Oryctolagus cuniculus: one gene and its partners. The protein of the gene in region 2 purifies or fractionates together with the protein of the main gene of each other region. This does not show direct contact. Links are inferred from orthologs where the notes say so. Each region holds a gene or a part of one and is shown on either strand. Other genes may lie near its edges. The genes, in order: CHAMP1, POGZ, CBX1, CBX5 and ZNF428.

Region 1 (6,381 bases), on a different chromosome or scaffold from region 2:
ACCAGGATAAGCACCTGGCTCCTGCCATCGGATCAGCGCGGTGCGCCGGCAGCAGCGCGCCGGCCGCGGCGGCCATTGGAGGGTGAACCAACAGCAAAAGGAAGACCTTTCTCTCTGTCTCTCTCACTGTCCACTCTGCCTGTCAAAAAAAAAAAAAAAAAAAGTCACCTTCCAAACATAAAAGCCCAATGTGACTTCCTGCTCACAATTCCTTAAAGTGTCCCAAACAGCTATACTGCAAAATTAGAACGTGGCACCCAAAGCTCCTCACAGTCTGGCCCCTGACTAGACCACTTTTTCCAAGTACTGGCCCATGTGTAATCCTCCAGCTCTCCAAGCCTCTGGGCCTATTCACAAGATGTTCCCTCTCCTTTACACTTCCCATCTTGTCCCCCAGCAATCAGGCAAATTCTTGCATCCTTCAGACACCTGTCTCTTTAAGTAAGGGCCTATTTCCCACTCCCTCCCAACCTTCCTTGGCCTCCCAGCTGCATGCATACCTCCAACATAGCAGTCACCCTCTAGCACTGTAGCCTAACTCCAAATCAGGTCACGGGTTCTCAAAGAACAAGGGCTACACAACTGTTTGTTCACCTCTGTAACTGTGCACATCCTGGCACACACTGTGTGCTCAGAAAATATCTGTCTGATCTTAACCTTGTCTCATGAAGACTGGGGACACAATCTTAACATTAATTCCGTTTTAAAATTAGAGACAATCTGAACTATCATCTAGTCTCAAAATCATAGAATTTGAAGGCAGGAAAAGATCTTCAATTGGAGCCAGCATTGTGGCTTAGTGGGTTAAGCTACTGCCTGCAACACTAGCATCCCATATGGTCGCCAGTTCAAGTCCCAGCTGCTCCACTTCCAGTCCAGCTCCTGCTAATGATCCTAGGAAAGCAACAGAGGATGGCCCAAGTGCCTGGGCTCATGCCACTCATGTAGGAGAGCAGGATAAAGCTCCTGGCTTCAGCCTGGCCCATATCCAGCTGTTGAGGCAATCTGGGGAGTGAACCAGCAGATGGAAGATCTATTTCCTCTCTCTCTAACTCAGCCTTTCAAAATAAATAAGCATATTTTTTTTTTGAAGAAAATTTTAGTTTACCATTGAGGAAGCTCAAACTTGATGTTGCTTGCCCAAGATCAGGCAAATGATCAGTATGTGGCAAATAAAAGAATAAAGTTCTACTATCGATTCAGGTCCTTTCAGTATATCAAGATCAAGCTAATATAGTAGAATTTAGTAAGATCTTGAAAAGCCAGTACAATAGGTCAAAACTCACAAAATTAAGTTCATCAAACATTTAGAATCCACTTATCAAAAGAAAGCAACACAGGTGGGTGTTTGGTCTAGCAGTTAAGATTCCACTTATGGGGCTGGCGTTGTGGTGCAGCAGGTTAAGCTGGCATCACATATCTGAGCACCAGTTGAGTCCCATCTGCTCTACTTCCAATCCAGCTCCACCTGGGAAAGCAGGGGGAAACGCCCCAGTATTTGGGTGCCTCCCACCCATGTTGGCGACCTGGATAGAGTTCCAAGCTCCTGGCTTCACCCTGGCCCAGCCCTAGCCAATGCAGCTAATTGGGGAATGAAACAGCAAAAAGATCTCTTTCTGTTTCTCCATCTCTCTGCCACTCTGCCTCCCAAATAAATAAAATGAAATTTAAAAAAAAAAAAAAAAAGTTCCATTTGAGATGCCCACATTCCATGTCAAGACTGCCTGGGTTCAAGTCCCAGCTCTGCCTCTGATTCCAGCTTCCTGCTGATGCAGCAGCAATAGCTCAAGTTGTTGGGTCTCTGTCACCCCTATGAGAGACCCAGATTCTGTGGTGCGCATTTGGGGAATGAACTAATGAATGGAAAATCTTTCTATTGCACTACCTTCATTTTTTTATTTAGATGATGTGGTTTAATTTTAGTATCTTGAGTTTTCCTGGATCTTTCATTATTGTGATTTGTTAATTTCTGGTTTTTTTTTTTTAAGTTTTTATCAGGTTCAATGTAATTCACAGATACAGTTTGGAGATTAAAATGATATGTCCTTTCTCCCACCCTACCTTTCAAATAAATGAAAATACATTTTTTTAAAAAAGCAGCAGCAAGCAACAATGATGGCAGCAGTCTTTAAAAACATGTCTGTGAATACAAACATTTCACTTCAAAGGGGGAAGAATTATGAATGTTGTCTAAGGTCTCCTTAGAAGCAACAAGCAGAAGCCAGTAAGAAAACAAATTACTCCATCCTGAACTAGACAAGCTTCTTGGTCCAGTGGTAACACTCCGTGACTAGAAGCTACTGATCTTCACAGGACTTGAGACCAACCTCTTCATTTTACCACTGAGAAAGCTGATTCTGAGACAAGCGACCTGTCAGAGATAAGGATTAGGTCAGAGGAAGCAAAGGAACACCCTGGATTCCTGGTTCTAGATCTCCGCTGTAACAGCAAGGCTGCCTTTCCCTCAGCACAGGACACACAGCGAAGTCACAGAATTGAGTCCCTCCAGCTGGAAGATTCTAGTCAATGTATTTTCTAATTTCAGACAAAAAGTCTAAATTGTCCAGGGTAATGAAATTTTCTCTTCTGTCTCTACAGGCTGTACCTTGTTGAAACAATGCTCTGCCAGCCCATCACTCAGAATTCTTCAACGCACTGCTGGTCCAGGTGCTGTCACATCAATTCCCATTTCCCATCCAATTTCTTCCTTGAAATCTAACACCACTGGTCATTTTTTAAGTATATTTTCATGTAGATTTTTAAATAAAAAAGTCAACATGTCATGCACATTTGAAGGGTTCTATTCGTCTAAACACACACCAGCACTATTCTGCACCCCGCTTTGACTTTTAAACACTATTTTTCAAGTAATTTTGTTTAAAAGAACCTGAACAGAAAGAAGAGAAACCCCCAATACATCCTCCCAATCCCCTGCCCAGCCTTCCTTAACATCCTGCAGTTGGGATGGCTAACACTGGTCTGTTATTAACTCGGGTTAACAGCTTAGAGGAGCCAGTCTTCATGTTGCAATTTCATGGGTTTTGGCAGACATACAGTCACACATGTACCATGACAGTCACAGTAATTTCACCAACATGAAAATTCCCTGTGTTCCTAACAATTACCAGTCTTTTCAATATCTCTGTAGTTCTACCTTTTTAAAGTGCGGGAAACCTGAACCAAAAACTTATCATTTTTTAAAGCACAACTTCATCCGTTAAGTATAAGCAACCATCACCAAGATCCATTTCCAGAACTCTTTAATCATCGCAATCAATCCTGTTCCCTGCTTCCCACAGCCTGGTCTCCTGAGTGGAAGAAATCGTCCGTGTTTGTCCCTTTGTGTCTTATTTCACTTAACATGTTTAAAGGTTCATCCATCCCACAGCCAAGTATCAGCGGCTCACTGCTTCTGGGGATGATACGTAACCACCTCAGCTTGCTCTGCTGGTACCCGGGGTCGGCATCCGAGCGGCGGCCTCCCACCCTGCGGGTCGGCCCGGGGCTCCACCGGCAACGGGCCCAGTTCCGACTTCACTTCCTCAACCACACTCCAGTGCCTTTTGTGTTCAGCCACCCTAACAGGTGTGAGGTGCGCCCTCGCGGGGGGTTAGCTGCAGCTTCCCAACGGCTAACCCGCCCTCCGGGTGTCGTCTCCGGGCAAATACCCATCCGGACGCGGCGCTGCCCAGTGCAGTCCTGTGTCCCGGGTACAGACCCTACACCCGAGTTAGGATTTGCAAACGTCCGCTCCCGGGCTGTGGCCTGCCTAGCGGGCTTGCGGGCACAACGAGCGGCAGGAGCCCCGCACGCGCGAGAAGACAGCCACCTCGGGGGCCGAAACCGAGCCCGTCTCCGCTTTACACAAAACGCCCCAGGCCCGCCCGCCCCCTGCACAATGGCGACCCACGCCCGCCTCCGGGGAGGGGTCCTTCCCGCTGCCCGGGACGCCAGCGGCCGGCGGACCTTGCCTTCGGACCGGCCGGCCCCGCGCTCGGAGTCCGCGGCGCGGACCCCGCCCCCGCCCGCCCGCGCCCGCCCCCGCCCCTCACCGGTCCCGGCCGCGGCGGCGTCCAGGTGGGCGAGGCCGGCGGGGAGGCCCGGCTCGGGCGCCAGCGACTCCGCGGGGCCTGCGGGCGCGGCCTCCGAATGGCGACGGGACGCAGGGGCCGGCGCCGGGGGCGCGGGCGTGCGCGCGCTCGGCCGGGAGGCGAGTGGGGCGCCGCGCAGGCCAATTGGATCGCCGATCGCCAAGCGCGGCCGTGCGCACTGCGCGAGCGCGAGCAGCGGCGCGGCGCGGCTCCCGGAAGTGCCGCGCGCAGCGCCCGCCCCGGAAGTGCCGCCGCGCCCGGCGCGCGGGAGCTGGCCGAGTGGGCGGGGGCTCGGAGCGGGCCGTGCCTCGGTGCTGCTTCGCGTTCTCTCGCGTTTCTCGTGCTGTCGTGTGAGTGGAGTTAGGGAAGAAAGGCAGGCCCAGCGCCCGCGATGACGTCCGGGACAGCTGTCGGAGACGAACATTCTCCTCAGGCTCCCGGACCTCCGTCCCGCGAGCGGGGAGGGTGCGTGCACCTGGTTCCGAGCTCACTCTAGGTTGACTGACCAGATGTCTTCCATTCGTTTCCTTTAGAAGTTATTATGCTTGTTTATTTGACAGAGGGCTCGCAGGGCTGGTTCGCTCCCGCAAATGCCCACAACGCTCGGGACCTAGGCCCAGAAACTGGGCGCCCTGATCTCGGTGGGTCCCCCACGTGGAACCAGCCAGCCCCGTGGGACTGCAGCCCTGGCACCCTGATAGGGTGTCAACCTCTGCACCAGATGTCTACCCTGAGATGCTGTTTACTGTGGCAAAATACGCATAAAATCTATCATCTTAACAATTTTAGGTGTATAGTCCAATGGCATTAAGTGCATTCGCAGTGAGCAACAATCACCATCCGACCCTTTCGTCTTGTAACGGTGGAACCCCATACCCACCGCACAGTACCTCCCTTCCTCCCGCCTTGCCCCTTAAGATGGCTGTTCTACTTTCCATCTCTGAATCTGACTATTCCTATCAATGAAATGTTACCTTTTTATCGCTAACTTTAGCATGATGTCTGCAGGTTTACCTGTGTTGTAGCATACTGCAGAGATTCTGTTTTTAAGGCTTTTAATAAACATTCCATAGTATGGGTATACCATCTTTTGCTTATCCATTCATCTGTCATTTGATTTGCTTCCACATTTTAGCCATTGTGAATGCTTTTATGAACGTGAGTGTACAAATATGTCTTTGAGATTCTTTCAATTCTTTTAGATATTTACACAGGAGTGGGGTTACTGGATCCATGGTAACTCTTTTTAATTGTTTTGAGGCACTACAGTGCTGCTTCCATAGCAGCTGCACAAGAGTTCCAATTGCACAACATCCTCACCTGCACTGGGTAGTTTCTGGTTTTCGGTTGTGGTTCTATGGTAGTCAATCTAACGGAGTTCAAGTGATAGCTAATTGCTGTACATTGCATTTTTCTAATGATTACTGATGTTGGCATCTTCGTGTGATCTCTTGTCATTTATATATCTGGAGAAATAGTTATCCAAGTCCTTTGCCCATTTTTAAATTGGGTTGTTTGGGTTTTTGTTGTTGAGTTAGAGGAATTTTCTGTGTATTCTGGATATTAGCCCCTTATCATATGTATGATTTGCAAATGTTTTCTCCCATTCTGTGGGTTGACTTTTTGCCATGATAGTGTTTTTTGAGCTATGAATTTACATGAAGTACATTTATGTTTTTTCTTCAATTGCCTGTGCCTTTGTTGTCATATCCAAGAACTAACTGCCAACACCAGTATCATAAAGCTTTTAACCTGTGGTTTTCCTCAAAGACTTATCATTTCAGATGTTGTCTTTGATCCACATTGAGTTAATCTGTGTATATGGCATTAGGTGAGAGTCCCACTTCATTCTTTGCATCTGGAGATCCAGTTTTCCACGGATCATTTACTGAAAAAACTGTTCCTTCCCCATTAATGGTCTTGGCACTATTGCCAAAAGACCACATATATGAGGGTTTGTTTCTGGACTCTCTTTTGTTCCATTAGTATCGATGTCTGTCTTTATACCAGGACTACCTGTTTTGATCTCTATCTTGGAGCAAGTTTTGAAATCAGAATGTTATCCTCCAGCTTCATTCTCTTTATCAGGATTGTTTTAGCCATTTGAGTTCCCAAGATTCCATAAGGATCCTAGGATTGCTTTCTATTTCCAGACCCACACACAAATTGTCTCCCAGTCCATGAACCTAAGATGTGTTTCTATTTTTTTTTAAATTTCTTCAGCAACATATTCTAGTTCTCAGTGTTTAAGCCTGTCACCTTCATTAAATTACATCCTATTTTGCTCTTT
Region 2 (5,885 bases):
CCCGGTTGCTCCTCTTCCAGTCCAGCTCTCTGCTGTGGCCCGGAAGGGCAGTGGAGGATGGCCCAAGTGCTTGGGCTCCTGCACCCGCATGAGAGACCAGGAGAAAGCGCCTGGCTCCTGGCTTTGGGTCAGCGTAGCTCCGGCCGTAGAATGGAAGGAAGACCTTTCTCTCTGTCTCTCTCACTGTCTAACTCTATCTGTCAAAATAAATAAATAAATAAATAAATAAATAAAAGAATAAAATTTTCTGACACAGAAAATTACATGAAACTGAAATTTCAGAGACCCTGAGTATTCTCAGTGGAGCACACAGCCATATTCACTAATTTATGGGTCATCTGTGGCTGCTTCTATACTACATGGCACAGATGAACAGCTGCAACAGAGCTCAGATGATGCACAAAGTCTAAAATATGCTGGGCCCTAGACAAAAAGTTTGTCAACTGCTGCTCTAGACCACTGAAAACCCTCACTATGCTCTTACCCTCCTACTGAAACCCTCTATCCACAGGGCCAGGGCTGTGGTATAGAAGGTTAACCTTCCACCCGCAGTGCCAGGATACAATACAGGCACTGGTTCAAGTTCCAGCTGCTTCACTTTTTTTTTTTTTTGACAGGCAGAGTGGACAGTGAGAGAGAGAGAGAGAGAGAGAGAGAGAAAGGTCTTCCTTTGCCGTTGGTTCACCCTCCAATGGCCGCCGCGGCCAGTGCGCTGCGGCTGGCGCACCGCGCTGATCCGGTGGCAGGAGCCAGGAGCCAGGTGCTTTTCCTGGTCTCCCCATGGGGTGCAGGGCCCAAGCACCTGGGCCATCCTCCACTGCACTCCCTGGCCACAGCAGAGAGCTGGCCTGGAAGAGGGGCAACTGGGACAGAATCCGGCGCCCCAACCGGGACTAGAACCTGGTGTGCCGGCGCCGCTAGGCGGAGGATTAGCCTAGTGAGCTGCGGCGCCGGCCGCTGCTTCACTTCTGATCCAGCTCCCTGCTTATGTGCCTGGTGAGCAGTGGAAGATGGTCCAAGTGTCTGGGCCCCTGCCCCATGTGGGAGACCTGGAAGAAGCTCCCGGCTCCTGGCTTCGGATCAGCCCAGTTTCGGCCGTTGCGGCCATTTGGGGAGTGAACCAGCAGACGCAAGAGCTCTCTCTCTGTAACTGTCTTTTAAATAAATGAATACATCTTAAAACAAACAAAAACCTCTATCCAAATCCCAACTTTAAAGTCTTGTTCAGAAAACTATTTCTTCCATGAAGCCACCTTTGATTATTCCAACCATCTCTGATCAGTCAATCCATTTCACCAATCCATACACAGAATTCCTTGGAGCTGTTTTGGTTACACTTTTCACAACTGGCTGTACTCTTCACTACATTAGTATCTGTGAAAACAGACTGCAGCAACTATGTTCTTTTTTATTTCCCTCAGAGTATAAAATAAATACTTTATTAAAATTTTTCAATGACTGCTGCTCAGAGGTTCTCAGCCTACTGTACCTTTCATTGAAGACTCAGGTCCGCTGGTTCTTTGAGAGCTGTGGGCAGAGCTGTTGTTGGATACTACTGCTGGCCCAGGGCTCTGGCCCAGGGAAGGGATGGTGTTAAGGGTATTCACCAATTTGGCCACTTCATTGCTATTTTCACCTGTCACCCCAGGTCGCTTCACAGTGACAAAGCTGGCAATGCTCACTGCAGGTGGAGAGGGGAAGGAGGGAGCTACATTGACCAGGTGATCATCTGCTCTCCACCCGCCACCTCACCCCAGCTCTGCCACTGTCTTCCCAAGCCTTACCTAGTTTGGGATTTGAGGTCTGGTTGGACTGGCCTGGAGGCTGAACAGCTAGTTGTCCCAGTGAGGTCGGCTGTGTGGCAGTGGGAGTGGTGGAAGTGCTGGGTGTAGACTTGGTCTGCTGGGCCTGGGACTGTGGGACGGTGCTCCTAATGGTCAGAGTGGCTGGGATGACGGTGGTGAAAGTGTTGGTGGTGGGCCTCACTGGCATTGCGGAGCCTGGTCTCACTGGGGTCATCTGAGAGAACACCTGGGGAACTCCAACTGTCGGCTTAACAAACTGGGTGCCTGGGGCTTCAAAAGAGAGACAAAGAAGAGACAAATACTGATCAGTAAGCTCACCTACAACAAATGCTCCCTGCCTTGACTGGAAATACTAAGACAGGGAAAGATTATTTCCCCAAACTGACAACTGTCAGGTTACTAGGAGTAGCACAGATTCTAAAGTCTAAAAATACAGGTGTCCACATTGGTGAAATACATTCCCCTAACAGAAATTAGGTAACCTAAAACCATTAAATCGAGTAAGATTCCCATCAAGTCCCCCCTACCCAAACACCTTACCACACTGCCTTAAACACAATCAGTAGCTTCAGAGCAGTACTGCAGAACAAAGGGTGGGAGACAGTATGGGTGCATATAAGCCAAAGGGCAGACTTGATCCTGAAAAAAGGGATGCTTCTTTCTCAGAACACTGAAAAAGTCCTCTCTCATACATACACTCACAGAAGACAGACTGTGCCATTCCAGTAGACTGTCCCAAAGGAGAACATCTCTGGAGACAATTCCACTGAGAAATATTTAAGAAATATCAGAACATGATAGGCTAAGCTGCTTAGACTGAAGGCCAAAAAAACAACCCTGCAGGTTCTGAGAAAACACTCAAATATTTCACAAGATAAGCTACAGATATACCTTTACAAGCAACTAATTTTTTTTTGGCCTAAATTACAGTAAACTTACACACAAGAAATGTGTGGAGGAATTTGTAAGATTTTTAAAAATCCAATCTTTAGATTCCTAAAATTCTATCTAGTCACTGGTAGTATTATTCAAAGGGTATATATTCCATTTATTAATATCTAAAATTTGTGTATAAAATTAAAGCAAAATAAAGTTTATAATCCCACCAGGTGAGCAGATGTCTGAGGAGTACAGAATTTGGTAGTTTGTATTGATAATTTTCCTTCAGGATAGACGTAATAGCTGACTGAAACAGCAGTTACTGAAGATGACTAGATAACCCATTTTAGTGCCTCATGAAGGGTGGTGAAAAGCTAAACAGAAAAATAAATAAAGCCACCACCCTGGCCAAAGGTTAGAAACTTTTTTTAATTTTGGCTTAAATCATTAAGATTGTTATTTTTTTCAGTACATTTTTAAGTGACCTAGAATATTTCCAACAATAAAAGCAAATCTGGATGCCAGTTTATTCCAAGTGGAGAGACATTTTTCCTTACCTGGGACTAGTGTAATTGGTCTAACCGTTTGGCCTTGCTGTACGTTCAGCACAATCCCAACCTGATTCATTGCATTTTGTACAGGCCGGACATTCCTTACAGGAAATCCCTGTATTAAAAAGCAAAATGATCTTTAATATGGAGTCCACTAACACTAGCAAAGACTGCAGTATGACCTGTATCCAAAAAAATTTTCACACTTTTAACCTAACGGTTCTCTCTAGAGTTAAGAGCTTCTAAATGATTGAGATGTAGAAATTTAGGAGATTTGGCAAATTTTTGAGTGACAAAATACCAAAACTGGAGCTTTGGCACGTAAGAGCAAAAAATGTAAACCTATTTCCTGATTTAAGAGAGCTGCAGCTGAAAAAAACGTAACCACAAAATGGCCTCCAAACTGTTAAAAAGCATAAAAGGAAAAATACTAAGAGTATTCATCAGTATGAGTCAACATAAGCAATCCTAAGAAACTGTTACCAAAGTCAGCCTCAAGCCCATAAATCTCTGGCAAGTTTATGAAAAGGGTAAACTCAGGAAGCCCCAGGAAAAATACTCACCTTTAGATTCCATACTCAGAATCAGGATTTTAACCTCAAATCACCACATTATATATCACATAAATCATCCTCCTCCTCTTCCAGAGATCTCCATCATATTCCCAATTTCATAGACAGACCTCCAAAAGTCAATTAACTCACCCCACGGGAAGAAAAGCAACCCCAAGGCAAAGGGTGAATCGTTTTAGAGCCACGTGTGAAGGCTTCCTAATCCAAGTTTTCCCATTAATTTCTGTCCAGACCTTCATTCAATCATTTAAAAGACCTCTAAGGGGATATGGAGGAGCCAATAACACAGCCACGAAGCTATGCTAGGCTTTCTACAAAGATCAGTATCCGATTACCACACAGCCAATGAGAAAGCTGGTCAAAGGACAAGTCTCAGGAACCCGAAGCAAGGCAGTCTTTCCCTGCTCTACCAATCCCAGAACTCAGTTTTACTCACCTGTGTAGTGATGAATATTGGTTGCGAAGCCACGGGGGAACTAGTCACATGATTGGCATTCTGCATGACCTGAACTGGCCTCAACACTGGCTGAGTAACCATTGTGCCCAGGCCTGGGGCTGGATTCTGGGTCAGAATGAGCGGCTGTCCACCTTGCTGGACCAAAGGATTGCCAGCTGAAGAGTAAAAGGGAGAAGCAGGGGAGAAAGCAATGTTACAAACAATGCGAAGCCCACATTTTATAAACATTCTGGTCTTAGAAAGGCAATAGTGTCCCACATATCAAATAGTCAAGACAGTCACTCACCTCTGCTTTAATGTCACCAAACTCACCAGAAATTTAAGCTTCACCCAAATATACAACTGACAGAAAAAGAGGTGGGTAGGGAAGAGTCACTAATATCCCACCTGTATGTCTTAAGTAGGGCCGAAAGACATCTTTAGATTTCTACGTGGCTATTACCTTGATTAAGAAAATTTAAGTGGCCACACGGTCTTCACACCAAATCGGTGGAATAAAAGAATATGTAAGTCTTTTTCATATTTTAGCTAAGTAAAACTATTTGGTCAAAATCTAACTTGTTGTTAGCTAATCTCTCTTAATCTTCCTGAAAAAGCAATGTTCACCAGCAAAACATTAACTAAGCAAGTATACAGAATCTAAAGAAAGACATCTCTTCCTAGCGAGTCAAGTCTGAGAAAGGTGGGAGTCTCTAAACAGCCACTGTCCTTTAGAGGGGTGTGAATGCAGACAATTAACAGGCTTCTCTCTCTCTCTCTGTCTCATGTCATCAGGGCTGAAAATAGAAGTCAGACTTGGTCAAACATTAACCCACACTAAATGAAAATGATACTTCAGAAGATAATGATTTCTTCATAAATAAGTATTAATAAATATCATTAGGTTAAAAAATCATTAATACTAAGCTTGATTTACAAATACTTAAAACTGGATAGAAAATTTCAGAGAACCAATCAATATACTTAAGCCAAAGATTCAAGTATAATATTGCCTCAACTTTTCACCCCAAATTATCAGAATGGAATGGGTCCTTTGAACTTTATGTTCCACTTGACAGATGTAGTCAGTGTTACTACAGAGATGACCAAAGAGTGGGTACACAGGTAGATATCAACAGGCCAACAATGCCTTGTCCCAAACTCTCCTACAAATTAAGAGCTCATTAGTACACAAGACCTTCAGTTACTGGGCCAGCAGACTGGTGATTACAGAGGCTGACAGATAAACACACACAAACTAGCAGGTTTTACCTATGCTCACTATCCTGGTAATTTATTCACTATATATATTTAAAATTTAAATGTTTTATTGTGGAGAAGTTCAAGCACAAATAAAAATATAATAAATCCTCACATTAGATCACCCAGCTTCAATAATTATTAATTAATGGTCAATCATATTTCATCTATACTGCCTACACTCAAAATTTCCCATATTATTTTGAATCAAGTCCCAGATCATATCTGTAAACATTTCAGTATGTATCTTTATAAGGTAGGGACTGACAAAAAGGAGAAAGAATCACATCACCATTATTACTGCTAAACTTCTGTAGTAATTCTTCAATATCAAATACCCAGTTAGAATTCAAATATATAACTGTCTATATTTTTTAAAAAC
Region 3 (5,885 bases), on a different chromosome or scaffold from region 2:
CTTTGAAAGCCTGACACAGAGAGAAACAGAGAGAGAGAGAGAGAGAGAGATCAATCTTCCATCTCTGGTTCTCTCCTCCACAACAGCCAGGTCTGGGCCAGGCTGAAGTTGGAAGTCAGGAACTCTGTCCTCATCTCCCACGTGGGTGGCAGGAGCCCCAGTACTTGGGCAATCTTCTGCTGCCTTTCCCAGCACATTAGGAGAAAGCTGGATCAGAAGCAGAGCAGCTGGGAGTTAAACTTCTGTGCCAGTATGTTGGCTCCTAAAATGTTTCTAAAGTATGAAAATTTCACTCATTATAATGGAATCATGAGTACATGCTTATCTTCAGGTCACTGAGAATGCCCTAGGTAAAAGCAGCAGTATAGAGCAGGCAGCAGATAAGGTATCCCCAAAACCTCCAGGGAATTGGAGCCACACAGCCCCAAAAACCAGAAAAGAGTAAGCTCTTAAAGTAGTTTTGAGCAATGGACCCAAGAGAACAGGAGGGAAATGTACTACTATTAACAGGTACTGGAGGGGGGGGGGGGCGGCTGGTGCTGTGGTACAGCAAGTTAAAGCCCCAGCCTGCAGCACTGGCATCCCATATGGGCACCAGTTCAAGACCTGGCTGCTCCACTTCCAATCCAGCTCTCTGCTATGGCCTGGGAAAGCAGTGGAAGATGGCCCAAGTCCTTGGGCGCCTGTACCTGCCTGGGAGACCTGAAGAAGCTCCTGGCTCCTGGCTTTAGATTGGCACAGCTCCGACCGTTGCGGCTAATTGGGGAGTAAACCATCGAATGGAAGACTTCTCTCTCTCTCTGCCTCTCCTCTCTCTGTGTAACTCTGACTTTCAAATAAATAACGAAATCTTAAAAAAAGAAAACAGATATGGGGGACCTGAAGCATGCTATCATTTGTTGACAAATGTACAACACCCTGAGTTAAGTTCACTCCATCTCATTGACCAGAATGCTGGCAGTTTTTGGAAATGGGCCAATACCTCCGCTCTCCAAAAGAAATCATTAAAAAAGTTTTATACTCCATTATTCAATCTTTTTTTTTTTTTTTTTTTTTTTTTTTGGAAAAGCAGAGTTAGAGAGGGGAGGCAGAGAGAGGGAGGCTCCACTTCTGACCCGGCTCTCTGCTATGGCCTGGGATAGCAGTGGAATATGGCCCAAATCCTTGGGCCTCTGTACCCGAATGGGAGACCTGGAAGAAGCTCCTGGCTTTGGAATGGTACAGCTCCAGCCATTGCAGCCATCTGGGGAGTGAACCAGCAGTTGGAAGACCTCTCTCTCTGAGCCTTTCTTTCTCTCTGTAGCTCTTTCAAATAAATAAATAAATCTGTAAAAAGAAAGCAAGAAGGAAGGAAGGAAGGAAGAGAGGGAGAGAGCAGTCTTCCATATTCTGGTTCAATCCCCAAATGGCTGCAATGGCAGGAGCGGGGCCCTTCTGAAACCAGGATCCAGGAGGCAGAAGCTTATTCTGGGTCTTCCATGAGGGTGTGAGGTCCCAAGGACTGGGCCATCTTCTACTGCTTTCCCAGGCCATAGCAAAAAGCTGGATCGGAAGTGAAGCAGCCGGGCAGCTTTACCTGCTATGACACAGCGCTGGCCCCCCAACATTCAATCTTAATTTGTAGACGTAGTAGTGAGTCAACCAAAGGAATGTAGTCTTAAGTAATATAAACTACTTTAATTCACATGATCACATGCAGAGAACATGCATTCTAGCTAAATAATTCCTGGTATCAAATCTCCCATAAGCGACACATTTTGAGGATGGCACTGTGGTGTAGTGGGTAAAGCCACCACCTTCAGTGTGACATCCCATATGGGCATTGGTTCGAGTCCTGGCTGCTCAATTTCTGATCCAGCTCTCTGCCATGGCCTAGGAAAGCAGTAGATGATGCCCCAAATCCTTGGGCCCCTGCACCTGCATGGGAGACCCGGAAGAAGCTCCTGGCACCTGGGTTTGGATCAGCCCAGCTCTAGCCATTGAAGCCATTTGGGGAGTGAACCAGTGGTTGGAAGACTTCTTGCTCTCTGCCTCTAATACATAAATAAATCTCTTTAAAAACTGTAAGATTTTCAAGATAAATGTCTTCATTAAGTAGTTTGATGGGGCATTACTAAAACCATATTTACACTTAGAATGAATGGAAAAGGCAGCCTTGCACTATGCTCATGAACAGGAAAGGGGTCCTGCTGACCCCTGCTGGCTTATCCTGGAATTGCACAATTTACACAAACTAGAAAGGATTGATCAAGGACAAAGGAAGAGCTACAAAAATTCTTTGCTAACGCTGGGAAGAGTCTGTGATCCTGCAGCCAGCCAGATCTTTAAGGAGGTGGTAAAGGGGAGGGTGGTCCAGTCACATTTCATATTTTCTTTCATCATGTACAAAGTGAAATGTGATTTCTTCCCTCACCCTCTACAATTTGGATTTTTTTCCCACCTCCTCAAAAAACCAGGCAAAGATCAAGAATCCTAAGAGCCCCTACCTGTAACTCATGAGTTCATTGTGGCAGTCAGGCCGAGGGTCACTATCGAAGGACTATGTCATCTTAAAGATTTCACACTTGGGCAACTGGAATTTCGAAGGTCCAGCTCGTTTCTTCTGGCATGGAACAGATGGGGATTTCTTGCAGACTCACCATTTCATCAGGAACATGAGTTCTCCACTTGAGTCTGTAGCTCCAATGATCCGTTCCGGCTCCAAACCCCGGGCAAAGCCTCGTGGCTTTTCTGACTGTAAAAACCAGATAGGTAGAGCAGTTTGATCTATGTGGAACTGTCATCCAGACTGGAGTCACTCCCATGTCTGCTTAGTGCAATTGCATACCCTTTTGCTAACAGATCATCGATACTTTGGCTCCTAGTAACAGGCCTTTTGGAATCCTTTGGAGTGATTCATCAAGGTATGAATGCTTGAGGTTTCCCATATATGAAAAGGAATAGACTCCAAACAGCAGACTAAATGTTTACCACGACTGTCTCTCCAGGACTTCTCTTCACCCTCAAAAGACAACTGACCTTAAGGTGTTGGATAAATCAAAATTGTTACCACAAATCATATGCTTAATCAAATGATTAAAGCTATCTATTTACAGGAATCGTTTCATTTGCCCTTATATCTGTCCTCAAAAAGTATTATACTTGTTATTCCTAAAGCCTGGATAATGAGGGTAGATCATAGGGTTTCACAGGAGATTGAGAGGAAATGCTTGCTAAGATCTGAGGAGACATAACAAAACTTAATTATTTGGTCTTCAGAAGCTTCTTTGACAGTACTATCAATTCTGGACTAGGAAAAATCCTTATTTCAAGCCTTACCTCTTCTTTCTTCTTCTTTGGTTTGCTCTCTTCTCCCTTATCTTCAGAATCAGAATCAGCTTTGCGCTTGCCTCCCTCTGACTTATCTGTCTCATGTGCTGTTTTCTGTGACTGCAGAAACTCAGCAATGAGGTCAGGGCAATCCAGATTCTCTTCTGGTTCCCACGTATTGTCTTCACTGAAACCAACCACAAGGTACAGCAAGTCACGTTCCTTCAAAGTAAGTATACTTATACAAAGGATATAAATACAGGGAGGACAAGAGGAATTAATATTAATGAACAGCTACTTTTTGCCCAGGACAAAATCAATTTTCTTTGCAAAGAAATCCCTATCTTGCTTTTTCGCACTATACATGTAGGTCATACTCTTGTCAGACCATAAACCATGAAAGCCATGATTCATTTTTTTACTGCATCTATCACAGCTGTGTATCATTAGATTCCCAATAAACACTTGATGACTAAATTCACCTGTGTCAATGAAACTTACTCTGAGAAACCTTTCCACTTTAGGAGGTACTCCACTTTGCCCTTTACAACTCGACGGTCAAGAACTTTTTCCACCACATATTCCTCTTCCTCCTCTTCTAGCACCTCCTCCACTTTCTTCTTGTTTTGTTTTTTCCCCATGGTGCCCGCCAGCTTTCTGGTGTAAAGGGTGACGCTGCTAAAATGGTAAAAGAAATAAAATGGGCATTAGGGTTAGATAAATATCTGAATGTTTGGAAAATCATGGAGATCAGAGGGGACTTTAATACTGCATGCTACTTATAATGTTATGCCTATTTTCAACATATAAAAACCTTTTCTGAAATGTTCAGCTACAGAGTTAGCACTGATAAAACTTTTTTATTCTTGCATATTCATTTAAAAACTTTTATATACATGGGCCAGCATCCCATATGGGTGCAAGTTAGGCTGCTCCACTTCCAATCCAGCTCCTTGCTAATCGCTGGGAAAAGCAGTGAAGGATGGCCCAAGCGCCTGGGCACCTGCCATCCATGCGGAAGACTTGGAAGGAGCTCCTGGCTCCTGGCTTCAGCTTGGACCAGCCCCAGCCATTGTGGCCATCTGGGGTATGAACCAGTGGATGGAAAATCTCTTTCTGTAGCTCTTTCAAAATACATATAGAAACTTTATAAAAAAAATACTTTATATGCTATGGTCCCTAAAATACTAAATTAGACTGAAATAGGAATCCTTCTAAAATAATATGTCCACATCAAACTTATATACAGATAATTCTCTGATCCATACTGTTTCCTATTCTCTATTTTCCTTTTGTTAAAGGAGTTTTTTTTTTTTTTAAATTTCCATCTACTTGAATGCAGTGATGGGGGGATGGGGGAGTAGGTGGGTGTGGAGAGGTGGAAAGAGAGAGAGGGATTTTCCATTTGCTGATTCACTCCCTAAATGCCTACAATAGTCAGGGCTGGGCCATGCTGAAGTCAGGGGCCTGAAACTCCTTTTGACAGGGCCCCAAGCACTTGAACCATCATCTGCTGCCTCCCAGGATGACCAGAAGCAGTGGAGCTAGGACTCAAATCAGCACTCTGATAGAGGCAGTAGGCACCCCAAGCCATGGCTTAATCCACTATATCATAATATCTGCCCTGTATGTCTTCCATTTTGCCACTATAATGGACTTGACTTTTTACTGTGGGCAAATAGTTTGCTCTATTAAGCATCTTAATTTTTCCATTTGCATATGCATATATGCCCTATTCTTCTGTATTACTACAATACTCTCTTCTGAAAAGTTCTCTTATTCATTATGCAGTCTTTCCTGAATGCCACTATAAATTTACACCTTACAAGTTTCTTATGAACTTCTTATTCTACTCAGTTTATTTTTACAGTTCAGATAAGACAAAAGAAGACTCACAAAATGATAGAATGACCATGAAATTCTTTGGAGTACTGCAATAACTTGGAAACTGTGTGTGTGTGTGTACAGGTGATAACCACAAATATAATCTAAGTTTTTTTCTTTTCTTTTTTTAATTTTATTTACTTGAAAGAGTTAGAGAGAGAGGTAGAGACAGAAACAGAGAGAGGTCTTCCATCCACTGGCTCACTCTCCAAATGGCCAGAGCTGAGCTGATCTGAAGCCAGGAGTTTCCTCCAGGTCTCCTACATGGATGCAGGGGCGCAAGGACTTGGGCCATCCTCCACTGCTTTCCTAGGCACATCAGCAGGGAGCTGGAGCAGAAGTGGAGGAGCTGAGACTTGAACCGGCACCTATATGGGATGCCAGTGCTGCAGGCCAGGGCTTTAACCCACTGTGGCACAGCACCCCCCACCCCAAAAAATACATCTTCGGTACCAGCATTGTGGCCAGGGGGTTAGGCTGCCACTTTCCACAAAGGCATCCCATATCTGAGCATGAGTTCAAGTCCCAGCTTCTCTGTTTCTAATCCAGCTTCCTGCAGCAGAATACGGTCCAAGTATTTGGGCTCCTGACACCCATGTGGGAGACCAGAATGGAGTTCCTGGCTTCCAACTGGTTCAGACCTAGCTGTTGCAGCCATTTGGGGAGAGAACAAGCAGATGGAAGATGCCTCT
Region 4 (6,353 bases), on a different chromosome or scaffold from region 2:
CCTCTGCTTCCTCCAGAGTAACCAGGGCCGCCTCCTCCATAACCACCTATAAGAATACAATTCTTCTCAATAAGACAAAAGTATTTAACAATCAAAATCGGTTCAAGTGTAATGGCTAAAGGCCTGCGCAAAGCATGCTTATTATGGGTTCAGTTGAGCTTATCATGCACTAGCAGTTAACAGTTTCTATCATCCTAATCTAGTAACACAAGTTGCCAGAAACATTTTTACCTATGTATTCTTTAAAGACTTACCGTCATTACCAAATCCATTGTAACCATCCCCACTGCCACCATAACCACCTCCACCGCGGCTGCCGCCGAAGCCACCTGGAAGAAAGCAAACACGTGCAGCAGGTTTAGAGCATATGAATTGCGTGGTACGCTCTGGAAGCGCTCCCTGCACTGTGACAACGATTGGCACACCGGAGTAACTTCTGGTTAGTTACAGGCCAGAGCTGCATTTTAGATAAAACTTAACTTCGGAAACGTAGGCCATTTGTTATATGCTACTACAGGTTACAGAAAAAAAAGGGACAAGTCATCTAGGGTCAAGAAACCACAAGCTCTCTAGAGTTAACCTTAGCTAACCATACATACCACGACCACTGAAGTTTCCTCCACGACCAAAGTTGTCATTGCCACCAAAACCACCTCCACGACCACCACCAAAGTTTCCAGAACCACTTCGACCTTGAGAGATAAGTGTTAAACCATACAGATTGGAAAAACTCAAAGTTACCTTAACGTCCGACTAAGCAATAGACATACCTCTCGGGGTGGACGAAGCGCTGGCCATCTCCTGCTTCGACAGGGCCTTCCTCACTTCACAGTTGTGGCCGTTCACAGTGTGGTATTTCTGAACTGAAATTTGATGACAAACAGCCCGGGGTTAGAGTGGAATGCCACGTGCGTTGCAGAAAGCCCGCAAAGTGCCTGGGATCTGATACTCACTGACAATCTTATCCACGGAGTCATGGTCGTCGAAGGTCACAAAAGCAAAGCCCCTCTTCTTGCCACTGCCTCGATCAGTCATGATCTCAATCACCTCGATTTTCCCGTACTGCTCAAAGTAATCTCGGAGGTGATGCTCTTCAGTGTCTTCTTTAATGCCACCCACGAAGATCTTTTTCACAGTGAGGTGGGCACCTGGTCTTTGGGAATCCTACCGAGCCGAGAACCACGAGTTACTCTAAATGGCAAAATCTGTGTCCTTTATCAAGTACTTGAAAGGGTCCAGATGGCTCCCCAATGGCAAGCCTATTACCACAACCGATGGGGGTTTGGGGGCCCACTTACTTCTCTCGACACAGCCCTCTTTGGTTCCACAACTCTTCCATCCACTTTGTGTGGCCTTGCGTTCATGGCCGCATCCACCTCCTCCACGGTGGCGTAGGTGACAAACCCAAAGCCCCTGGAGCGCTTGGTGTTCGGGTCTCTCATTACCTGGAGACAGCGTTAATTTGCTTATTACAAGGCCCGGGCCCGTAGGAGGTTATAGGGCGGTCCTCCTGTTCCCCGCTCCCGCAACTTCCAAAAAGCAGGCCGAAGAGCCACAAACGAGCCATTCCTAACTCAGAACTCAGGCCCCGTTAGGATCTTAAGCCCTCGCACAGAATCTGCAGGAACAGCCGCCGACGCCCCGCCTCCCGGCCCTCCCCAGTCTTACCACGCAGTCCGTGAGCGTGCCCCATTGCTCAAAATGGCTCCTCAGGCTCTCATCGGTCGTCTCAAAGCTCAGCCCTCCGATGAAGAGCTTCCGCAGCTGCTCGGGCTCCTTGGGCGACTGGGCGGGAGAGCAAAATTGGTTTTTCTCTTGTAAATTCGGGCTACCACACGACCCCGTTTCCACGCGGGGGGTGGGGAACACAACTCGGCCCCCACAAAGGCGGCACTTTTTGTTCGCTCCGGTCCAAAGCGGGCCACGTGCTCCCCCTCATCAGGGGAGGCGGCCCGTTGGGGGCTGGGGAGCCTCCAGCGCATGCGCCGCTCCGCTCCCTCCAGACGCACGCGCGCAACAAAAGGTCCGCGCGGGAGGGGGACATCGCCGTGAGGGGCATCAAGGCTTTTTTAAAACCCGCTCGCCGGGACAAAATTGAACCTAAATCGCCATATGGCTAACGATTTTGCCCCGACGCCGACCCCGGAGTGATTATCGAGGGGCTAGCGGCCCGCAACCTCATGGCGACGACGAGGACAAAATGGCGACTTGAACTTTGGGAGGGGTAGGCCTTGGCCGCGACCGAGCAAACTGCCGAAAAGGTTGCTGCGGGCAAAGAAACCGCCCCTACTGGACTCGAAGAGGGAGACGAGGGGGAGAACTACGTTAGAAAAGGGGAGCTCCTCACCTCTGACTTCGACATGACGGCGGTGGGAAGAGAGAACTCGACGATGCTTCCTCGGCGGCGTCCGCAAGCAGAAAGGAGTAAGCCAACGAACGTATCCGCCAGCCTACCTTCGGCCTCGCTTTTTTATCCCGCCTCCTCGCTTTCGACATTGGCAGACTCCACCCCTGCCTCGCTCTGATTGGACATTTGAAATCGCTTCCCTCTACTATTGGTGTATGGCGCCGCACTGCTGCGTACGTCACCGTTAGGGCGTTCTGCGCAGTCTCCACCCCTCGGACCCCATTGGTCCTCGAGCAATCTTATTCTTAGCCAGCCTGATTGGCTAACTGAACAATCATTCATTTTTGAACGTACTTCGCCTGTCTAAACGTTTTTTTTTCATTCTACTAGTCCAAATTATATATCCTATTTGTTTGGTAAAGCATTATTAACACCAAGCAGCAGAAAAGTAGTTAGATGTGACGGTTTTTTTCAACAACCGCCTGTTGAGCGCATGTGTAGTAAAATGGCGATCTTGCGCATGCGCATTATAGAGTTCCGCTCGCCGCTTGAAACACGTGAAATGGCGGGCGGGAGAAGGCGGTTAACCTACGGCGCCTGCGTAGTGGCGGGAGTTGCGCGCTGCTTTGCGCAGGCGTTGTGGGCGGAGAAAGGGTCCGGGCCCAGGATTGGTTGCGCAGGCGCAGGGAAGGATCCGTTTTGGCGGGCGGTTGGCGTTGCGCAGAAGGCAGCAGCAGCGGTGGCTTGTGGTGCGGCCTCAGCACAGAGGAACGGGGCAGACGTTAGGGTGTGTGATCACTCTCGATCCCGGGTAAGTGGCAGAGAGTCTTGTCTACCTGTACAAGGCCTTGGACCGGCTCCAGTTGGGCCCGTTATTGTGTGAAATGAATGGACCGTGGGGTGGGGGGATAGTCAAGGGGCAGCGGTGGGTTGGGCCAACCAATAGAAGAACAGGGGGCGGGATATTCCATCCCTGTAGGTTGTGTGGAGCTGTGCCGCCGAGGCGTTTGACTGGCGCGTGTCTAGGCCAATTGGGTCTACCTCGAGCTGCCGACTGATCGGCCTTTGGGCCATCGGAATGTGGGAGGCGGGTTTTCCCTTCCTGAGCAGCGTCCCGCCGAGCCAATGAGCGCGAAGCGCGCGGTAGGTTGGGCTTCTCCGAGGGGCCGTGGGTTTGACTCCAGCGGGGAAGGCGGGAGTTGGGCCCTCAAGTGGATGGACCAAATCTGGAGCCAGTAGGCGGGCGGCCCAAGGAAGCCTCTCGGACAGGTCGTCCAATAGGCTCTCCAGGACGGGGAGGTCTTCGATTTGGTGGGAAAGGGTGGGGAGGAAGGAGATTCAATGGTCGTGATGGCGTGCGGGGGTGGGTTTTTCCCCCCTACGACTTCTGCGAAGCCCCCCGCCCGGTGCACCTCTTTGGTAGCGGAAGCGTAAATTTGGTCCTGGGTGCTGCAGCTTGGCATCGCTCTCCACGTCGGGGCATCCCAGCATCCACCACATTGAGTTTGGGGGAAACCCGAGCAGGGCTTTCGATTTAGAGAACTTGTTTTAGGAAGACGGACTGAGTGTTAGCGAATGAGAGAAATCACTGTGTACTGTACGGCAAGGCGACCTCAGGATGCCTGTTTCTGCGGACACAAAGGTGTTCGTAGGCCCGCAGAAAAGTTTCAGAATCCTGCCCCTGTCCGGAGTGTGTTGCTTCTGCCGACGCCGGGGCCGAGGCAGGCTGGGTTTCCAATAGACCCGTGTTTAATCTTTACAGGGGTGACGATTTGTGATTAAAATAAAATAAAAAATGAAGTCAGTTTTGTGTGTGCGTTTCTGTTTATCATACTTCTCATCGCCCTTGTCTCTCTTCTCAGCTAGCTGCTCCGTGCTTTTGTCTTGGTCTTTTTCTCTGACTTTCCCTCCTGTACATATCTTTCTTTACACCATTAAAGATCTCCCGTGTCCCTCTTTGTGCTGTTCCTTTGAGGATGTCCCACGGAAGCCGCTGTAGGAGGCGATACGTTAGGGTGTTGGAGACAAAAGACCCATCCATCACCTGGAGTATTCATTGCCTTTTGATTAGATTTCCTTACGAGGGTGTTCTGCATGTAGTCTGTCTTCTGTTGATAATGCTTTCTCTGCTTATTCAGGGATCTTTTGAAAAAAAAGTTTGCATTATATATTGGGTGTGTTAGGGTCTTACTGCTTTATTGTTCACTGACTTAAAGCCAAGGGAGCAATCTTTAAATACTCTAATAAAAGTCAACCACATATGAAGTACACTTGTGATTGGAGACCTCTCCGCACTTGTGCAAATACAAATGATTTTAATGGAGCTTGTGATGAACCGAGCAGAGATTTCCGTGTTCTCCCGTACTTGCAAAAACGGCAAATCTGTGTTTCATACCTGATCATAAACCTATTTGTGGATATGCTGATAGTGCAGTTGCTGAGCTTCTGATAACTAAAGTGAGAGCGGTTGAGGGTATCCTGGATTTATTTAGGTTTAAAAGGAATACAGTCTTAATCTATAACAAGGTTTCTCATCCTCAACACTATGGGCACTTTGAGCCAGATACTTCTCTGTTGGGCAGGGAGTGGGGGCTGTCTTGGGCTCCCTGGCTCTACCTATTAGAAGCCAGCAGCACCCCCCCCCCCCCCCCCGCTGTCCTCACAGCCGCCAGGCGTTGCCAAAGGTCTGAGAGGGGTAAGCATCGGAATCTCAGTTTGAAACAGACCTAAAATGGCTGATGTTAGAGTTAATTATCCTTTCAAAGTCCTCTGTTTTACCAATTCAATAAAAGTGGGATGTATTTAGGGAGGGGCCTTTGCTGAGTGGATTACTAAATCCTATCACTTATCTCTTTCAGACACATAATAGGATCATTGTTCCTTCTGATAAAAGTGATACTTCATTAACATTCTTAATATTTCTTGCAATCTAATTATATGATTGACTGCTTGAATTTGGCTCCCTAAATAATGGCAAAGGTGTTTTTTTTAAGAAGGTAAATTTTGTCTCAGATGCCTGTTAAGGATTTCACCTAACTTTAAATCTCTTTCCTGGCTTTGAGTGACTGTCACTCTGCTTTAGCTATGACCCTCAGGAAGAAATATATTTTATACTGACTTTGTACGTACATGGAAACAAGTTTCACACAGCAAAGGTGCAAACACTCTGGTATTTTCCCACATTCCATGTCCTATTTCATTTTCTCGAGGCAGGTCAGTTTATACTGAACTGCTGTCACAGTGGCTTACAGACCCATGGTTTTGGGCATGGGGTGGGCGGGGAACGACTGCTCTGAATAGGAAACCAAGTCAGGCCACCTGAGGTTGCTCTGAGTGGATTCTTCCAGCACCAGCCACTTGTGTTCACAAGCAGATCAATTGATGACCCTTTATTTGGTGTTTTACTGATGTTTTTCCCTTTGAAAGATTTTAGGAACTGAACTAAGACTTCCTAGTCGACTGCAAGTGAAAATTTTGCATTTTATTGTGAGGGTCTGTTCAGTGGTAATAGGTGCAGTAAACCCTTCTTACTGTTGGTGTAAGTTTAGTGGTTTTTTTTTTTTTTTTTTTTTTTGACAGGCAGAGTTAGACAGTGAGAGAGAGACAGAGACAGAGAGAAAGGTCTTCCTTCTGTTGCCCCCAAATGGCCGCTATGGCCGGCTGCGCCCATCCGAGGCCAGGAGCCAGGTGCTTCCTCCTGGTCTCCCACGCGGCTGCAGGGCCCAAGGACCTGAGCCGTCCTCCACTGCTGCCCAGGCCACAGCAGAGAGCTGGACTGGAAGAGGAGCATCCGGGACAGAATCTGGCACCCCAACCAGGACTAGAACCCTGGGTGCCGCGGCGCCACAGGCGGAGGATTAGCCAAGTGAGCCGCAGCGCCGGCCTAGGGTGCTTTTTGCATTGAAATTCTGAGACTATCACGTGGAAAACCTTCCCTCATTTTGCTTTCGGAGAATCTGGTTTGGTTGTTAAACTTAGACCTGGCAGTTAAATACAAAATGTTGCG
Region 5 (6,503 bases), on a different chromosome or scaffold from region 2:
AGCAAGAAGTCCCAGCTCCACAGCAAGGTGAGACCGTCGGGCAGGGCCAGCGCGGACACGCGGGCCAGCACGGCCAGCAGCGTGCGACAGCAGCAGCAGAGGGGCGCGCACAGCCGGGGCAGGACGCCCGGCCCGCGGCGGGGCCACAGCTCCAAGAGGTCACCCAGCAGGACCAGCACTCCCAGCAGGGTGAGGACACACAACGCCAGAGCGGGCACAGCCAAGAGGGCGAGAACTCCGGCTTCCCAGCAGAAACAGGGTGGGGGGAAGAGTGACAGCCGGCCTCGAGCCACCAACAGGAAGAGGAGCCAGAGCCAAGCCGGCAACGTGAGCAAGGAGAAGCCGCACAGCCCGCCCAGGGCCTCGGCGGTGCGCAGCGGCTCCCGCCTGGCCGTGACCCCCAGCAGGACCAAGAGCCGCAGCCTGACCCAGGCGCCCTCGCGGCAGCAGGGCCTCAGCCAGTCCCCGCCATCCCCGCGGAAGGCGCAGAGCCACAGCCAGGCGGACGCCTCCCGCTGGGAAGGCAGCTACAGCTGGACCGACAAGGGTTACATCCAGGCCAGCACCTCGAGCACGGCGCCAAGTCCCAGCCGCTCCAGCACCCCCAGCCGCAGCAGGTCCCGCACCCCCAGAAGGGCCAGGAGCGTCAGCCGCGACAGGCCCCAGAGCCGGCTGAGAGGCTACGGCTGGAAGCGGAATCACAGCAGAGCGAGAAGCCGGACCCGGAGGGGAACTCCCAGCCAGGTGAGGGCACCGAGCACCTACGGCAAGGGGGAGAGCCCAAACCCACCCAGAACCCCCAGAAGGGAAGGAAGTCACAACGGGTCCAGGACCCCGAGCGGCCAGCGCCGGAGCCGCAGCAGACAGAGAGCTCCCAGCCACGCGCGGTCCACAACCCCCAGCGAGGAGAGGGACCCCAGCCAGCCGCGAACCTCCAGTAAGAGGAGAGGCCACAAGCAACCGAGACCCGGCAAGCGGAGAGTCCGCAGCCCGTCCAGAACCCCCAGCAGGGAGAGCAGCAGCGGCCGATCCAGAAGCCCCAGCGCGTACAGAGCTCGCGGCCGACCCAGAACCGCCAGTGTGGACAGGGCTCGCGGCCGATCCAGAACCACCAGCGTGGACAGCACTCGCGGCCGATATAGAACCACCAGTGTGGACAGCGCTCACGGCCGATCCAGAACCACCAGCGTGGACAGCGCTCACGGCCGATACAGAACCACCAGTGTGGACAGGGATCGCGGCCGATCCAGAACCGCCAGTGTGGACAGGGATCGCGGCCGATACAGAACCACCAGTGTGGACAGCGCTCGCGGCCGATCCAGAACCGCCAGCGTGGACAGCGCTCACGGCCGATCCAGAACCGCCAGCATGTACAGGGCTCGCGGCCGATACAGAACCACCAGCATGGACAGCACTCGCGGCCGATCCAGGAGCTCCAGGAAGAAGCAGGAGCACAGCCCATCTGCAGCCTCCAGCAAGGGGATGTGCGGCACCCCACCTAGGACCCCCAGCAAGAGGAGAGGCCCTCGCCGCTCCAGAACCCCCACCGTGGAGAGGGGTCACGGCCAACCTACAGCCCCTGGAGGTTTCAGCTGGAAGGGGTCTCCCAGCCAGGCCACACCGCGCTCTCCCGACGAAGCCCCGACCCCTGATGCGCACACCAACGCCACCACCTCCAAGGTCGCCTCACCTGGGGAGAGGTCTTCGTCATCTTCTTCCAGGCTGGCGTAGCCCCCGGTCTCAGCTGGCTCACGGGTCTCTGTCATGGCCAGGGGAGGGGACGGGAAACAGCAGAAGAGCAGCAGCTGGGCAGCGTCCCTCCCCGGCCAGCTCTCCGGCCACAGAGTCTTCTAATACGGGGTGCTGGCAGGTAGAGGGACGCTGGGCAGGGGAAAGGAAAGGCCGGCGACAGCTCAATAAATTTTCACATAGCACTCGACCCCACCCCCACCCAGCTGGGTGCTCCGTGCAAAGCCTTGCCCCGGCCCCGCCCCTCTGTTCTTATTCCATGGGGGGAGGGGAAGGCAAAATTCCAGATATTGATCGGCAGGTAATGGCATCGGCACCAATCAGAACGGAGATGAGCAGGAGCCTGTGGCAGGCATTAACCCTTCCGTCGCTGGACTGTGGGGAACTCCGGGGCTGGGGGAGGCCCTGAAGCGGCAGTCAGGTGTGGGGTGCATTTGATGACGGGCGGGAAGGATCTCAATATTTAAATAAGGCGGCAGGAAGGATCTCAATATTTAAATGAGGCGACGCTGGTTTGTGACCCTCCGCCTGCTCCTAACTGCCAAGGTGGCTGTGTGGTGTCAAGCTAAGGGCTTCACTCCTGGGCTCCTCAGAATCAAGCTGAGAGACTGCCCCCTCTGTACACATGGGGGAAACTGAGGCACGCACCGAGGCTGAGCAAGTGGCCCGAGGTCACACCACCCAGCGGGCAGTCCTCCCATCTCTCATAAAATGATCTCTTGGGTGGGTCGGGGGCTCATTCAGGGAGGTGGCTGGGAGGGGGCAGGCATTCCGGGACCCCTCCCTCCGCCCCCGTAAACTCGGCCAGTTTGGATCCTGCACCTCTCTCCGTGCACCCCAGGCCTTGTCACATCTGCGGTCGCCAGCAGCAGAGACCTCCTTCCCCAGGGAACTCACCCTCGCAGCTCACCGCCAACCTAAGAACCTCTGTCCTTTGTCCTGGCCCTAGAGAGCCTGTGCCCCTCCAGGAAGCCAAACCTGACTGCCCTCCTCACCTGCAGACCACGCCCCCAACACACACACACACACACACACACACACACACACACACACACACACACGGAGCTTCTCTCCCTGCGTTTCCTGACGACAGAGAGCCGCCCAGGCCGTTAGTGGAGGGGCTGGCCGCCTAGGCTGTGTCCTGCAGGCCAAGGTCTGTGCCGGGCACTGGCCAAACAGTGATGGAAAACCCGAGGCCCCTTTCAATGTCTGGAGGTCAAGTTCACTGCCAGAAACTCAAAAGATAAGGATGCTGGGGAGGGCTGAGGGACTTCCTGGAGGAGGCGGCTGATCTGGGCGGGGAGTGTTCTTAGGACACCCTCTACCCTGCAGGGCCCACCCAACTCGGGAACTCTACCTAAAAGCAGGAAAGAGGACCAAATTATGCACATAAAAACAGGATGCCCAATGAAATGTGAATTTCACCTCACTAAGATCATTGTCATGAATCTCACTTTATGATATTAATATCCCTGTTTGCAGGGGGGGCAGTATATATGTGTGTGTATAAAAAAAGAATTTTAGAGGCTGGTGCTGTGGTGTAGCAGGTAAAGCCTCTGCCCACATTCCCGGCTGCTCCACTTCCGATCCAGCTCTCTGCTATGACCTGGGAAAGCAGTAGAGGATGGTCCAAGTGCCTGGGTCCCTGCACCCGTGTGGGAGACCTGGAAGAAGATCCTGGCTTCGGACAGGCACAGCCCGGGCCATTGTGGCCAATTGGGGAGTGAACCAGCAGTTGGAAGACCTCTCTCTCTCTCTCTCTCTCTCTCTCTCTCTGCCTCTCTGCCTCTCTGTAACTCTGCCTTTCAAATAAATAAATCTTAAAAAAATATATCTCTTAGAACAAAGTTCAGTTAAACAACAAATCATTACTCATATTTTTGATGTAATTTTTTTAAAAGTTTCTTCTAAGGGAGAGAGAGATAGAGAATCTTCCATCTCTTGGTTCACTCCCCAAATGGCCGTGAGGGTCAGGACACAGCCAGGCAGAAGCCAGGAGCCGGGAGCTCCATCCGGGCCTCCCACGCGGGTGCAGGGGCCCGAGCGCTTGGGCCGTCGTCCGCTGCTTTCCCAGGCGCATTAGCAGGGAGCTGGACCCGGAGAGGAGCAGCCGGGACTTGAGCTCCAATATAGGATGCAGCTTCGCAGGCAGAAGCTTAACCCGCTGCCCACTTTCCCAAAAGATTTTATGTTGCTTACTGGAAATTCAAACTTAAGGAGGCATCCTGTACCTCCACCCAGGAAGTGCACACCGAGAACAACCAGGACTTCTAAGGAGGCTCCCCGGAGACAACGCCCACCAGTCCGGCCCCCGCCCCCTCCCAAGCCCACAGCACTGGGACCCCCGCGGAGCCAGCCCTGGGTGCAAATGCCCACCCCTCCGACACGAGGGCCCTCAGATCCGAGCGGGGCCTGAGCCGAGACCCTCGGGTTGTGGCCGGGCAGGGGTTCAAGCCCCAGCCACTCCTCCTCCGACCCAGCTTCCCGCTAATGCGCCATGTGCGAGGCCCAGAACGGGCTCCTGGCTCCCGCCTGGCCGTTGCCGCCATTTTGGGAGTGAACCAGCAGATGGAAGCCCTGTCTTTCGAATAAAAAATAAATAAAAAGCAGCGCAGCAGTGGGCACCGCAAACGCCCTGAGCCCACAGGAACCAACTCCCAAGACGCCCCGCGTGCACGACAGGCACCGGTCCCGCCACGCGAGGGCGAGGAGGCGGGACAGTAAGGGCCGGTCCCCCAATGCCCTGCGCGGACTCCCCGCAGGCTGCTTTCCCCGCTCCTAGAATGCTCGACAGTGGGTGTGTGACAAAGGGTCCGGTTCGCCATGGGAGAGCCGGGGGGCCCCCTTCCCGGGAAGCACCGGGCCTCTAACGACCGGCACGCTGCCGAGAGGCGGAGTGCCCCGTCTCCCCGCGCTGCCTCAGGGCGCGACCAGGGCGCGCGGGGGCCAGAGAGGGGCACCTGGGTCTCGCCCCCAGGCCAGCGCCGCCCCGACCGCTGCCCGCTCCTCGGGCGACAGGAGGTGTCACTCCCGTCATGCAGCGGGGCCGTAGCGCCCGCTTCCCGGCATGCCCCGCGCACCCCTTCCCCGGACACTCACGGTCGTCGGCGGCCCCCGCTCCGGCCCGGCGGTGGGTGGCGGCTGCACGCCCGGGCCTCGCGCCTGCGCCGCAAGCAGGGCAGGAGCGAGCGCAGGGGGGCGTGAGGCGCCTAGGGCGCTTGCGCGGCGAGACGGACCATTCCCGGCGCGCTGTGGGAGGAGGGGGCCGCGCGAGCCGAGCCCCGCGCCGGGGGGTGCGGTGCGTGGCCCCTCGTCGGCCGGGGCGACTTGGTACGGTCCGCGGCCCGAAGGCCACAGAAGCCGCGGGGCTCGCGCGTGCGTGTGCGTGTGCGTGGCGGGAAGGCGTCTCACCAGGACGGGGCGCGCCGCGGGCGGAGGGCGCCCGCACGGCTGGGGTGCGGGACCGGGCCCGCTCGCGCGCCGCACCCCACCGCGGGACAATAGGCGGCCTCCCGCACGGGGGAGGTGATTTGCATATTCCCCGGGGAGGCGGGGCTCCCGAGCGCAGTGATTAGCATATGGCGGGGAGGGGCGGTGGCTGTGAGCGAGGCGCGTGCGCACTAGGTCCGCCGCGGGGCGCGAAGCGGGCAGGCCAGGTTCTGGTCGAGGATCGGTCCGAAGACAGGCCACAAGGACGCGGAGGAGGACCACTCCAGCCTCCACGCCCCCTCAGTCGGGGTGCACCTTTGGTGATCTTTGCAGCAGGCGGCCAGTTGGGTTTCTTTGGCGTACGAGACACAGCCCTGGGGCGTTCACACGTCTGATTAAATAGCCCCCCCCCCCCCCCCCGGGAGGTCAGACTTGGGACGGGTGTGCCTGGAACACAGAGCCGGGGAGGGGAAGGGCTCCTGCAGCGAGCTCGGGCTCTGTGCCCGGTGCGGGAGCCGCTGCTGTCTCCCCGCAGGAAGTGACTGTCACGTCTCTAGGGGTCCCCTTACACTTCTTAAAACCCCCAGCTCCTTATCAGGGGCTCGGAGGCCATCACGTGACCCGCCCTCGCCCACCCTCTGTATCCACTGTCTCAGCTCCGCTTCCCGCACACAGTCTTTGATCTCGCTGTTCCTCTGATCTGCACACAGCTAGCTGCTCGGGGGCTCTCCACGTCTTGGCACAGACCTCAGTCTGAGGGTAACAGCACCTCCACTCGTGAGTGAGGCTGTCGAGGAGTCCGGGGTGCTCACGGGTGGGTGCTGGCTGCTGAGGCTGGCTTGAAGTGTACCCGGGGCTTCCCTGTCCCACCTGCTCCTGTTCGAAGTGTTCTGTCCCATGGCTGTCCTACCGGCGCGTCCCCCTCTGTGGCGTTCTGGCTCGGTCAGTCTGTGCTGAGGTCTGTTTCCCGCGGGAAAGCCTCGCGGTTCACTCTGGTCCTTAGTGCCCAGCGCGGGACCAGACTTCAGATCAGTGCTTAGCTCTCGCGACAGCTAACCCTTGCCTGATTCACGGTGGAGTTAGAATACAGTAACACGCGCAGCAACCCGGTGCCGAGAGAGCTCTGGCCTGATACAGAGGGGATGGGGAGGCGGGAGGGGCGTGGGGCAGGGCAGGGCCAGGGAGGGTGACAGGGTGATGGGGGTGGAGGTGGGGCCAGGGGAGGGCCAGGCCCTGGGGGATGGGCTGAGGTAGCTCAGTAGTTATTAAAGAATTGAGACTTTGAGACTGTTTGGCTAAAGAAGTGGCAAGGAAAAACCCACGTT

What was found.
Region 1: the proteins of POGZ (region 2) and CHAMP1 purify together in Homo sapiens (affinity purification with mass spectrometry; 4 studies listed by BioGRID and IntAct, with this or other methods). This does not show direct contact. The link is inferred for Oryctolagus cuniculus from reciprocal best matches to the Homo sapiens genes POGZ and CHAMP1.
Region 3: the proteins of POGZ (region 2) and CBX1 purify together in Homo sapiens (affinity purification with mass spectrometry; 7 studies listed by BioGRID and IntAct, with this or other methods). This does not show direct contact. The link is inferred for Oryctolagus cuniculus from reciprocal best matches to the Homo sapiens genes POGZ and CBX1.
Region 4: the proteins of POGZ (region 2) and CBX5 purify together in Homo sapiens (affinity purification with mass spectrometry; 5 studies listed by BioGRID and IntAct, with this or other methods). This does not show direct contact. The link is inferred for Oryctolagus cuniculus from reciprocal best matches to the Homo sapiens genes POGZ and CBX5.
Region 5: the proteins of POGZ (region 2) and ZNF428 purify together in Homo sapiens (affinity purification with mass spectrometry; 3 studies listed by BioGRID and IntAct, counting the BioPlex papers as one, with this or other methods). This does not show direct contact. The link is inferred for Oryctolagus cuniculus from reciprocal best matches to the Homo sapiens genes POGZ and ZNF428.

Annotation. Positions count from the first base shown.
Region 1 is NC_091440.1:32,949-39,329, forward strand, and holds the start of CHAMP1 (chromosome alignment-maintaining phosphoprotein 1), read right to left. Parts: upstream 4,209-6,381; 5' UTR 4,053-4,208; intron 3,882-4,052; exon of another isoform or gene 2,606-3,881; intron 1-2,605. UniProt on the Homo sapiens protein: Required for proper alignment of chromosomes at metaphase and their accurate segregation during mitosis. Involved in the maintenance of spindle microtubules attachment to the kinetochore during sister chromatid biorientation.
Region 2 is NC_091438.1:46,662,000-46,667,884, reverse strand, and holds part of POGZ (pogo transposable element with ZNF domain), read right to left. Parts: intron 4,420-5,885; coding exon 4,244-4,419; intron 3,351-4,243; coding exon 3,242-3,350; intron 2,076-3,241; coding exon 1,785-2,075; intron 1,709-1,784; coding exon 1,490-1,708; intron 1-1,489. UniProt on the Homo sapiens protein: Plays a role in mitotic cell cycle progression and is involved in kinetochore assembly and mitotic sister chromatid cohesion.
Region 3 is NC_091448.1:24,362,521-24,368,405, forward strand, and holds part of CBX1 (chromobox protein homolog 1), read right to left. Parts: intron 3,988-5,885; coding exon 3,811-3,987; intron 3,497-3,810; coding exon 3,319-3,496; intron 2,735-3,318; coding exon 2,640-2,734; intron 1-2,639. UniProt on the Homo sapiens protein: Component of heterochromatin. Recognizes and binds histone H3 tails methylated at 'Lys-9', leading to epigenetic repression. Interaction with lamin B receptor (LBR) can contribute to the association of the heterochromatin with the inner nuclear membrane.
Region 4 is NC_091442.1:57,213,365-57,219,717, reverse strand, and holds the start of CBX5 (chromobox protein homolog 5), read left to right. Parts: upstream 1-2,840; coding exon 2,841-3,158; intron 3,159-6,353. Other genes in the region: HNRNPA1 (heterogeneous nuclear ribonucleoprotein A1), read right to left, coding at 1-46, 255-329, 600-692, 771-863, 954-1,164, 1,299-1,445, 1,669-1,785, 2,348-2,362. UniProt on the Homo sapiens protein: Component of heterochromatin that recognizes and binds histone H3 tails methylated at 'Lys-9' (H3K9me), leading to epigenetic repression. In contrast, it is excluded from chromatin when 'Tyr-41' of histone H3 is phosphorylated (H3Y41ph).
Region 5 is NC_091449.1:12,300,706-12,307,208, reverse strand, and holds the start of ZNF428 (zinc finger protein 428), read right to left. Parts: upstream 4,992-6,503; 5' UTR 4,849-4,991; intron 1,882-4,848; 5' UTR 1,767-1,881; coding exon 1,691-1,766; intron 1-1,690.